2 linked regions of the Arabidopsis thaliana genome follow. The protein of the gene in region 1 interacts with the protein of each later gene in a pairwise test. Each region holds a gene or a part of one and is shown on either strand. Other genes may lie near its edges.

Region 1 (5,446 bases):
CGAAGGTAAAATAATGCAATATTTTCATGTATAAGGTTGTATTCTTTTGATTTGATTTCTTTAGGTGGTTAATGCTTTTCTGGTTTTTAATCTTTGAAGAGTGCAACACCATCAAAGCGACCTTTAGGAAGACAAGCAAGTGAGAGTCCTTCATCGACGAAGAAGCGGAAGCACCTGTCGATGAGATGAGATTATGTGTTTACGGATCTGTCGAGTCTTTGTTGTTACATATAGTTAAGCTAATGTTAAAAACATAGCAAATGGATTTCATTCTGCTTTCATGAATGTTTGTCCTGGTTTGACTTGGATTTAATGAAATGACTTAATTATAATTTTGTAGACTTCTCTTCCGTAAAGAAACTGAACAAAAGGATTTGAGGCCATTGGATGGCAACTTAGGCTGAAGCTTAAGCAAAAGTTATGAGTTTCTGAGGGATATATGAACAGACGATTTTTTCCACAATTTATTACTTCTTTGTTCAACGGTTGCATTTTATTTACTTAGAGAGGAGAGATCTGATACTTTTGTGGAAAGAAGATGTACATAGGCATTGTTCGTGCAATGTGCAGTGATTGAATGTAGATGTCATTGGATACAACTTACAAGAACGAGGAAGAGAAAATGTGTACACTATATCCGTTTATGCTTCTTTCTACGTTCGCAGACATTTTAAATTACTCCTCCAGATTCATGAAGGAATAAAAACAGGGGACTTCTGATGAATGTCGCTTGAATAAGGCCATTTATTAGTAATTCGTTATTCAAGAAAAATAAACAAGAGAGGAGAGATGGCCGTATGAGAGAATATATTATATATGGACAAATGGTCAATGACAGAAGCTTTAGTCTCTCTGCTTCCATCAAATCTCAGACCCCAAAAATAATCTTCTTTTCTCTTTTTTTCTTAATGTTGCTTAGTTCATGAAGAATTGAGAATATTTTCCTCTCTTTTTTTTTTTTAACTTGAAGTCTTAGCTTCTATGCTGCCACTGACGCTGGCTGAGTCACCACTCGTCTCAGCTGGCTCAGGACGGCTCAAGCCACTGACCATAGAAGAAACTGCAGGAGTCACAGCCTCTTTGGTGGGTTCATTGCTAGAGCTTACTGGAGCTGATGAGCCGCTGAGTGAGGATGATCCGATTGGGTATGGCGCCACGGGCATATCAGTTAGTGATGATGCAGACGGACTGTAGCTAAGCGAAGAACTCATTGAGTGATCAAACTTACACGCCGGTCCAAACTTGCAGATTCCGTGTTGAGCAAAGTGAGTGCATTGCGCTACGCCCTGTCAAATACATTGAAACGTATCATATCAAGACTCGTTGAAAATCTTATATTGGATCGAGTTTGTATCTCTAGAAAAATGAAAAAAGACTTACGGGACGAAGTGGAAGGCCAATGGAGCTGAGGACAATGCCAGTCTTAGGTGGAACTGCATCTACAGGATGATGGTATCGACACGAAGATCCGAATTTACAGTCACCAGTTCTCATGAAGTATTGACACTCGGGTTGATCAGGTCGCTGAGGAAACTCTTTTGAGGTGGAATTTGAAGAAGGCACAGATTGATATGTTCCTGTATATGCAGTCGCTGAAGGAGATAACGGCGTGAGTCCATAAATAGAGCTTGATCCAATAGACGGTTGAGTTCCAGGCGAAGGCATTGCACTTAAAGAAGCCTAAAAAGTCGATAGATTCATTTACAAAAAGAGTAGCAATGAAGAATCCTACAAAAGCGAGATAAAGGCTTAGAAGATGGATTTACCTGGTAAGGATTCCAACCAGAGTATGGAACCATTCCAGGAGGCAGAACCATTGGAGGACCGTAAGGGCTTTGAAGATATGAACCAGTTAAAAAAGAAGGCCTAGTCAAAACTAACCCATATTGTTGAGACGAAGGAATAGATTGAGATTGAAGTGTCGGATAAATAGTCTGTAGCTGCGGCTGTGGCTGTGGCTGCTGCTGTTGCGGCTGCTGAGGTGGACCCTGTACAGCGAGTGGCACGGGATGGTTGAATCTACAAGTCAAACCAAATTTACACTGACCGGTTCTCAAGTAATAAGAGCACTCTTTCTCTCCCTGTAATCAAAATTTTGAAGAGCTTTTAGAGATCATACAATACAATGTGGAAGCATCCACATAACCATTAGAGAGATTAGAAGACAAACCGGGCGTAATGGATATCCCAAATAACTTAGCGAGACAGGCGCAACGGAACCACCACCACCTCCTTGCCTAGGATGATGATACTTGCAAGAAGCACCGAATTTACACGTACCAGTTCGCATAAAATGCTGAGAAAAAAAAAAAAAAAAAAAAAAAAAGTTCACAGATTTCTCTTAAATAAACAAAAGCAGAGAAATTGAAACTGCATTGCTTAAAACCGGAACATAGTTTGATCAGAAAGAGATTCAGATAACAAAACCTGACAAACCGGATGTCCCATCCTCTCCGGTAAAGCTCCAGCTTCTCCTCTCACACCTCCAATAACCTAAACATCAAAATCAGAGCTTACAAAAAACTTCTTCTTAAGCATTTTGGTTTGTTTATATGTGCTTTAATTTAACAATGCCCAGTGACCAATTTAACGATCTGATCATCAGACTCTCAGTAGCTGATCTGAAATTGAAATTGGTGAATAAGGAGAAGAATCTGAAACTGAGAAATCATTTACCGCTCCACGATCTCGTGGGTGATTAAACCGACATCTTGACCCGTACCCGCAAACGCCGGTTCTCAAGTAATAAATACAATCAGGCTCGTCAGGTCTCTCCGGGTACGATTCTCCACCTCCTCCACCTCCGCCGCCGCCGCTCAACCCTAACCGCCACATCGGAGCTACAAAAACACGCATTTGAATCAGAATTCACAGCTCTAATCGCAGATTAATCCCGAAAAATCAAAACTTTAACAAGAGACATTACCTTCGACAGCGGTTTCACCACCATGAGAGGTCCATTCAAGAGATGGATCCGATCGCGACCCTTCTTCACCGGGGCGACCGTACCGCTCCATTGATAGACCCTAATCTCTACAGAGGGAGACAAATCCCTCAAAAGAGCAAAAGAAAGAAGTCTTTTTTTTTTTTTTTTTTGAGCTTTTGTCGGAATGTTAGAGCTCCGATCAAAGAAGAGTGTTGTGATTGTGAAAATCTGAAAAGGAAAAAAGAAGATCGTAGTTTCGCTTCAACACCACTCTCACTAGTCGCTTGATCTCTCTCTCTCTCTCTCTGCCTTCAAAGCTGAAAACTTTTTTGAACTAAAATAAAAATAAAATATTTTTATAATTTTCGGCTACGATTTTTATTTATAATTTCCCTGGTAACAAGTTTGTGTGTGTGTTATTGCTTTTTGGAAGTGATGGGGAAGTTTTGATCTTTCTTTATGCGTGGTCGCCTTTTTCGTGGGTGTTTTGCCGGTGGTGGTTAATATACGCGCCAAACATAGACAATTAGTGACCTCTCCTCTCCTCTCTCTCTTCTCTTTTTTTATTTTATTTCTTGTTTTTTCTTCTCTATTTCTTTTCCTTTTAAATACCAAAATATATTTTAAGAAAATGATAAATTTTACGTAGATATTTTTGTTGGTATATAAATAAGAATCTGAAATACAAATTATAAAGCTTGAAAATCAGGTAGAAATATTTTAGAAAAGCTTATTACAACAATCACTAGGCTGCCATATTTGGTGGTATGTACTTTAAATCATTGAGTCTATAAATTTCTATTTTTTGTTTAATTGTACATTCATGTATAGGAAAGGGACGTTGATTATTAGACTGTTAGATTTAGTATCGATAAAATACTGTACTTAGATTATAGGAAATATATTTTGTACTACAATTACTATATTTTAGTAAATTAATTGCTAATGAAGTTTTCTCTACACAATATCACATCGAATCAAAATGATTTTAATCGAAAATTACATTGGATTGTTTCTTTGTTTTTAAAAAGAATTAAAAGCGATTGTTTATTCTACTTTTTTTATTTTAATCAATGGACCACGACACGTCCATGAAGAAATTGGATTTATGGGTCAAATACAATTAAGGCTCCCACTACAAAATGAAAGTTTGATTTTAAAAAGCGATGAATCTCTCTACTTGTCAAGAAAAAATAGAACATGATGTCCATTTGAGCATGGGCAAAATAGTATTGTGTCACTGATATTGTTTGTTTCCATCCATTAAACTCCATTTTCCATAAATCTTACACGTATATACTAATTACTTAAGATGCAACTGTTACAAGAACAATGAACAACATGCCAATCGAAAGCCTTTCTTACAAATGATTTTGGTCACCCACTCACCAATCAATTAGTAATACAATTTTTTCCTTCTTGGTTATGAGTTTTCCATGGTATTTACAAACCAATGCTATAAATTAATTGTATTTTATGCGATTAAATTATTTTAAAACAAAGAGTACGATAGTTTTTTTTTCTCTTTTTTTGGTAAAATTTATGTCGAATTAACAAGAAGATATAAATATTTATTTTCATATCTGAACTCTGAAGTGAGAGATATTATTTTCCCAACCAAAAAAAAAAAAAATTGTATTCCCATTTTCTTAATTTGGATCTATTGTAGCGTCTGACGTTCAGTTGCTTTAGTCAGGCGCGTGGATGGTTTAGAAGATTATTTGAGAGCAATAAGACTTTTACATCACATAAAGAAGTCAAATTGGTTTGGTCATGACATGACCAATCCAACGGCAACACAAAGCATTAGGGTGATGATGACCAACGGTCGAGATCTATTCCAAAGTCACTGTCCATTTGAACTGATGACCAAACGAACCAGAGGGCTCATTGAGTGTAGTAGGTAAAGAAGCCCATTCTCTTCATAAAAAAAGTTAAGATTTAAACTAATAAGAGTTTTTGTTCCATTTAATGAGAGTTATTTTGAATAATGAGAAACCAAATAGAATTAAACTCAAAACATTGACATATCATATTAGTTTGTTTCAGTATGGTCACCATCTAATCAGGCCCGACTCTTGGGAGGTGCTGAGTGTGCTAGTGCACCGGGTCCCAATTCTTTATTCAGTTTTTTCTTTATATTTTAGGGTCCAAATTTTCAAATAATTGCAAAACAGGGTCTAGTTTTTTAAATATTTAGAGTTTTAGGTAAAAAAATTTGGAGCATAGCACAAGATCCAATAATTTATTGGGCCGGCCTTGCATCTAATAATAAACCCATGTTTACATCCGATAATATATATGTGTGAACATTGTTAAACAAAAGAGAGACAATTTAGTTTGTTATTTGTTGTAGTCTTTTAATACAACCCTAATAGAGGTCAAAAAAAAATTATACAGTGGTTTCAAATAGTATCCATCACAATTTTTGTTGTGGTATAACAACTATATTTCTAGATAAACTAGTTTTGCACATCTTTTATATTACTATGCAAAAACTATTTTCATAATTTGAACAAA
Region 2 (3,406 bases), on another chromosome or scaffold:
CAGACAAAAGAAGTTAACATGAAAGAGATATGAAACTAAAACCAAATGAAATTATAACTTTGAATGACGATAACTCTCAAAGTTCATAAGTGAAATATATATATAAAAAATATAATTATTGACAAATTCTACTGGGTCGTAATTCGTAAAGAAGGAGTTGTTGAATATAATAAATACTCTTAATTTTCATTGTACTAATAAGTAATAGTATAATTTATATGATAATCTCTGATAGAATTATTGGAGAAAACGAATGATAATAACATATATAATTTGATAGGAAATACAACGCCAATATTGACCAAGTCGCCCCCAGTGTTGAAGTCCCATTCAAATATTGTCTAAAGAGAAAAGAAAAAATAAAAATAAAAAATGAGCCAAAAGCTTTTTGTGTATGGACGACAGAGCACTCCTCGTCGGACTGTCGGAGAATTGTATTTCTTCTCATATCCAATTTTTAAACAGTAGAAAAACATGATGTTTTTAAGTGTTACAAACTTTAGAATTATTTCGGAGTTACCAATCAAGAATATACAAACATCTTCAAATCCTATAATATAGATTACTATTTGCAAAAAACTATGGAAATTAAATATGGAAATGCTGTTAATAAATCTTTATAAACTGGTCAAATTATGTTTTTTTTTTCTTAAAAACTTTGTGATATATTAAACTTAAGACATTACAAACTGTAGAATTATAAAAAGGAAAAACAGAGAAGAGAAACACAGAATTATTATGGAGACTCGAGTTTAAAAGAAATTCACGGAAAAGACATAATTAAAATTATTTTTGGTTTTGATTTTCAGAAAATGGAAGTATCTCTTCAATATCACTTACCAGCAGATGTTGATGCACCATCAGCTCTATGCCCATCTTTCAGGTTTTTATCTTCCATCTTCCCAAATATGCTATTCATTATCATTGGTGCATTATCAGCAGCAGTTGGGAGTTGCATAAGTTGATTCTTTTGAACTTCGTTTAAACTCTTAATTTTTGCAATAAAAGAATCTAAAGAGACTGGTGTCATGAGGAAATCATCTGGCATTGGAAGATCATAAAATTTTGGTACTTGATCGTGTCCCACATAGGTTCCAAGCTCATTCACCGCGGATTCAATATCTTGTTCAACATTATTGAGAATATTCTTGTATTGTAGAATCATGTCATGACAACCAGAAATAGGATTACGTATACGAGCCTCAGCAGCATAACGTAAACAGTTGGCAGCAATCTCTCGTTGTTCTGGAAATTCAAGATTATCAAGGATATTGCAAACATTCACGGCTCCAAAAATCTGAATAATAACTTTGAAACTTGCATCGTTTGATGGAAAATGTGGTGCATAAATGCACATTGGAGCACAAGTTTCATTCAAAATTTTGCAGACAGCACAACGGTTGGAAGCCATTCTTCTTTGTTTTATTTTCTCTCTTAACCCCTAAATAAAAAAATTGTATGAGAAAAAAAAATTATCAATACACTTTTAAATATATGCATATTTGATTTATATTAACAAAATTAAGAAAAATATCTTCAAGATATATAAAAATTTCTACATATTTAAATTATATATCATAAATAATACCACTAAAATTTATATTTTCACCATTGCTTGTGATGAGTAAAAAATCTACGTAAAACTACATAGATATATATATAATTTAAATATTCAATAAATCTTCCTAACTTAAGCGATTAGAAGTTCTTATAGAAATCGTACAAACATAACAATATCATATCAATGTAACATAAGAGAACAAATTCTCACGAAAGATCTCATAGTCGAATATTTATAAAATCATTTTTTGTTTTTTATGTAGCAATGAAAAGTGTATAAAATGGATGTAATAAAACATGAGTGGTATATATGAAAAACTATTATAAGTTAATGACAAATAAAAAAAACTTCATTTTAAACGTTAGATCAAGATGGTGAGATCATGCAATACCTTGCTCCAATGTAAGAAAATGTAGTAAATATAAATGATGCATAGAATAACAAAATGAGTCATAGTTTTATAGGCATGTCTCAAAACATATTTAAATTGCCATATCAATAATTTTAGGTAAGATAGCAATGTTCAATAAATATCGAAAATTTGACTTATTTATTTATGATGAAGAGTTATTGTTTGACTGCGCAATACTTGTTTAGGAAAGATAATAACATTATTTACTATAATTATTATTTTCCCAAATTATCATGACTAATGTCTAATAAAGGGGTGTTATTCGTTTATGATTTCAAAAGAATTTAAGTGATTTAAACTGTTATGTAAAATTTGTTGTTATTTAATCAAGACTTTTTAAAAGTATGTTAAAATTTTGTGTTATTCATTTAAGATTTGTAAAAAATAATTTAAAATCTTCATAAATTTTGGGTTATTAGATTTATACACTTATAAAGTCATTAAAAGTTTTGTGTTATTCAATTAAAACAAAAGAATCTTTGATTGTTAATAATTTAAATTATTATGTTATTGGTTCATGACTTTCTACATTTTTCTTCTTAAAATGAAGTCATGAAAAATCATTGAAAAGTATTATCAAAATAGAGAGATTGTTTGAAAAACTTTACAAAATTATGAAAAACTAATCAACAAGATTATAAAAAAGTCTCTAACAATCGTTTAAAATCTTTCATTTTTTTACTTTCTAGTATTTGATTGAAGTCATCAAAATTCCTTATAAATTAGGAACCAATTACACCCCCTAAATATCAAAAATTTGACTTATTTATTTACAGATAGATGAAAGTAAATAACTGTTTAAGTGTACACAGTATTTATATTTTTTGTAATGTATAATAGCGTCTTTTACGGTATTTTTTTTTTTCCAATTACCATGCATTAGATATGTCAAATTCTGAAGTTTTGAGTACCAGTTGATCGTTAATGTTTACATATCCAAAACTTCTGTGGTTCTTAAGCCCATACACTGTATGTGTAATTTTGTTGCCAAGAATTTTATAGCTTATGGTATCGACTTTGGACACCAAAATAATGCGTTATTATATATTGTGACTAAAACTTTATTTTATTATATATAAGAAAATTAAATTTAACTTGACACATCTTTTTTTACAAAGCATCAAACTCCAAACACGAATAAAGAAAAATAAACTTTAAACAAGAAAACTCAATTCAACTTCCTCTCATAAGCTCAAACCAAATTTCCTTCTTACTTACTTAAGCTGTATAGAGTTTTGGATCGGACAACCTTGGAACAGGAATAGCCACAAGTGGAGACTTCAACTTAAGAACAAGACCAAACTTCTCTTCAACCTCAAACTTCTGTCCTTGAGGTGCTTTCCAATCAAAAGAGTGAAGAAGTGAAGCAATGTTGAACAGAACAAGTCTCTCAGCCATGTTAATCGCCGCACAAATCCTCCTTCCTGACCCAA

What was found.
Region 2: the proteins of AT3G06410 (region 1) and LBD32 interact in a two-hybrid assay, tested with the Arabidopsis thaliana proteins (one large-scale study listed by BioGRID).

The regions. Positions count from the first base shown.
Region 1 is NC_003074.8:1,946,512-1,951,957, forward strand, and holds AT3G06410 (Zinc finger C-x8-C-x5-C-x3-H type family protein), read right to left. Parts: upstream 3,406-5,446; 5' UTR 3,018-3,405; coding exon 2,927-3,017; intron 2,841-2,926; coding exon 2,677-2,840; intron 2,494-2,676; coding exon 2,428-2,493; intron 2,297-2,427; coding exon 2,171-2,296; intron 2,082-2,170; coding exon 1,767-2,081; intron 1,681-1,766; coding exon 1,381-1,680; intron 1,287-1,380; coding exon 960-1,286; 3' UTR 501-959; downstream 1-500. Other genes in the region: CHR11 (chromatin-remodeling protein 11), read left to right, coding at 1-5, 100-189.
Region 2 is NC_003075.7:11,931,306-11,934,711, reverse strand, and holds LBD32 (LOB domain-containing protein 32), read right to left. Parts: upstream 1,416-3,406; 5' UTR 1,412-1,415; coding exon 833-1,411; 3' UTR 826-832; downstream 1-825. Other genes in the region: CYP706A1 (cytochrome P450, family 706, subfamily A, polypeptide 1), read right to left, coding at 3,192-3,406.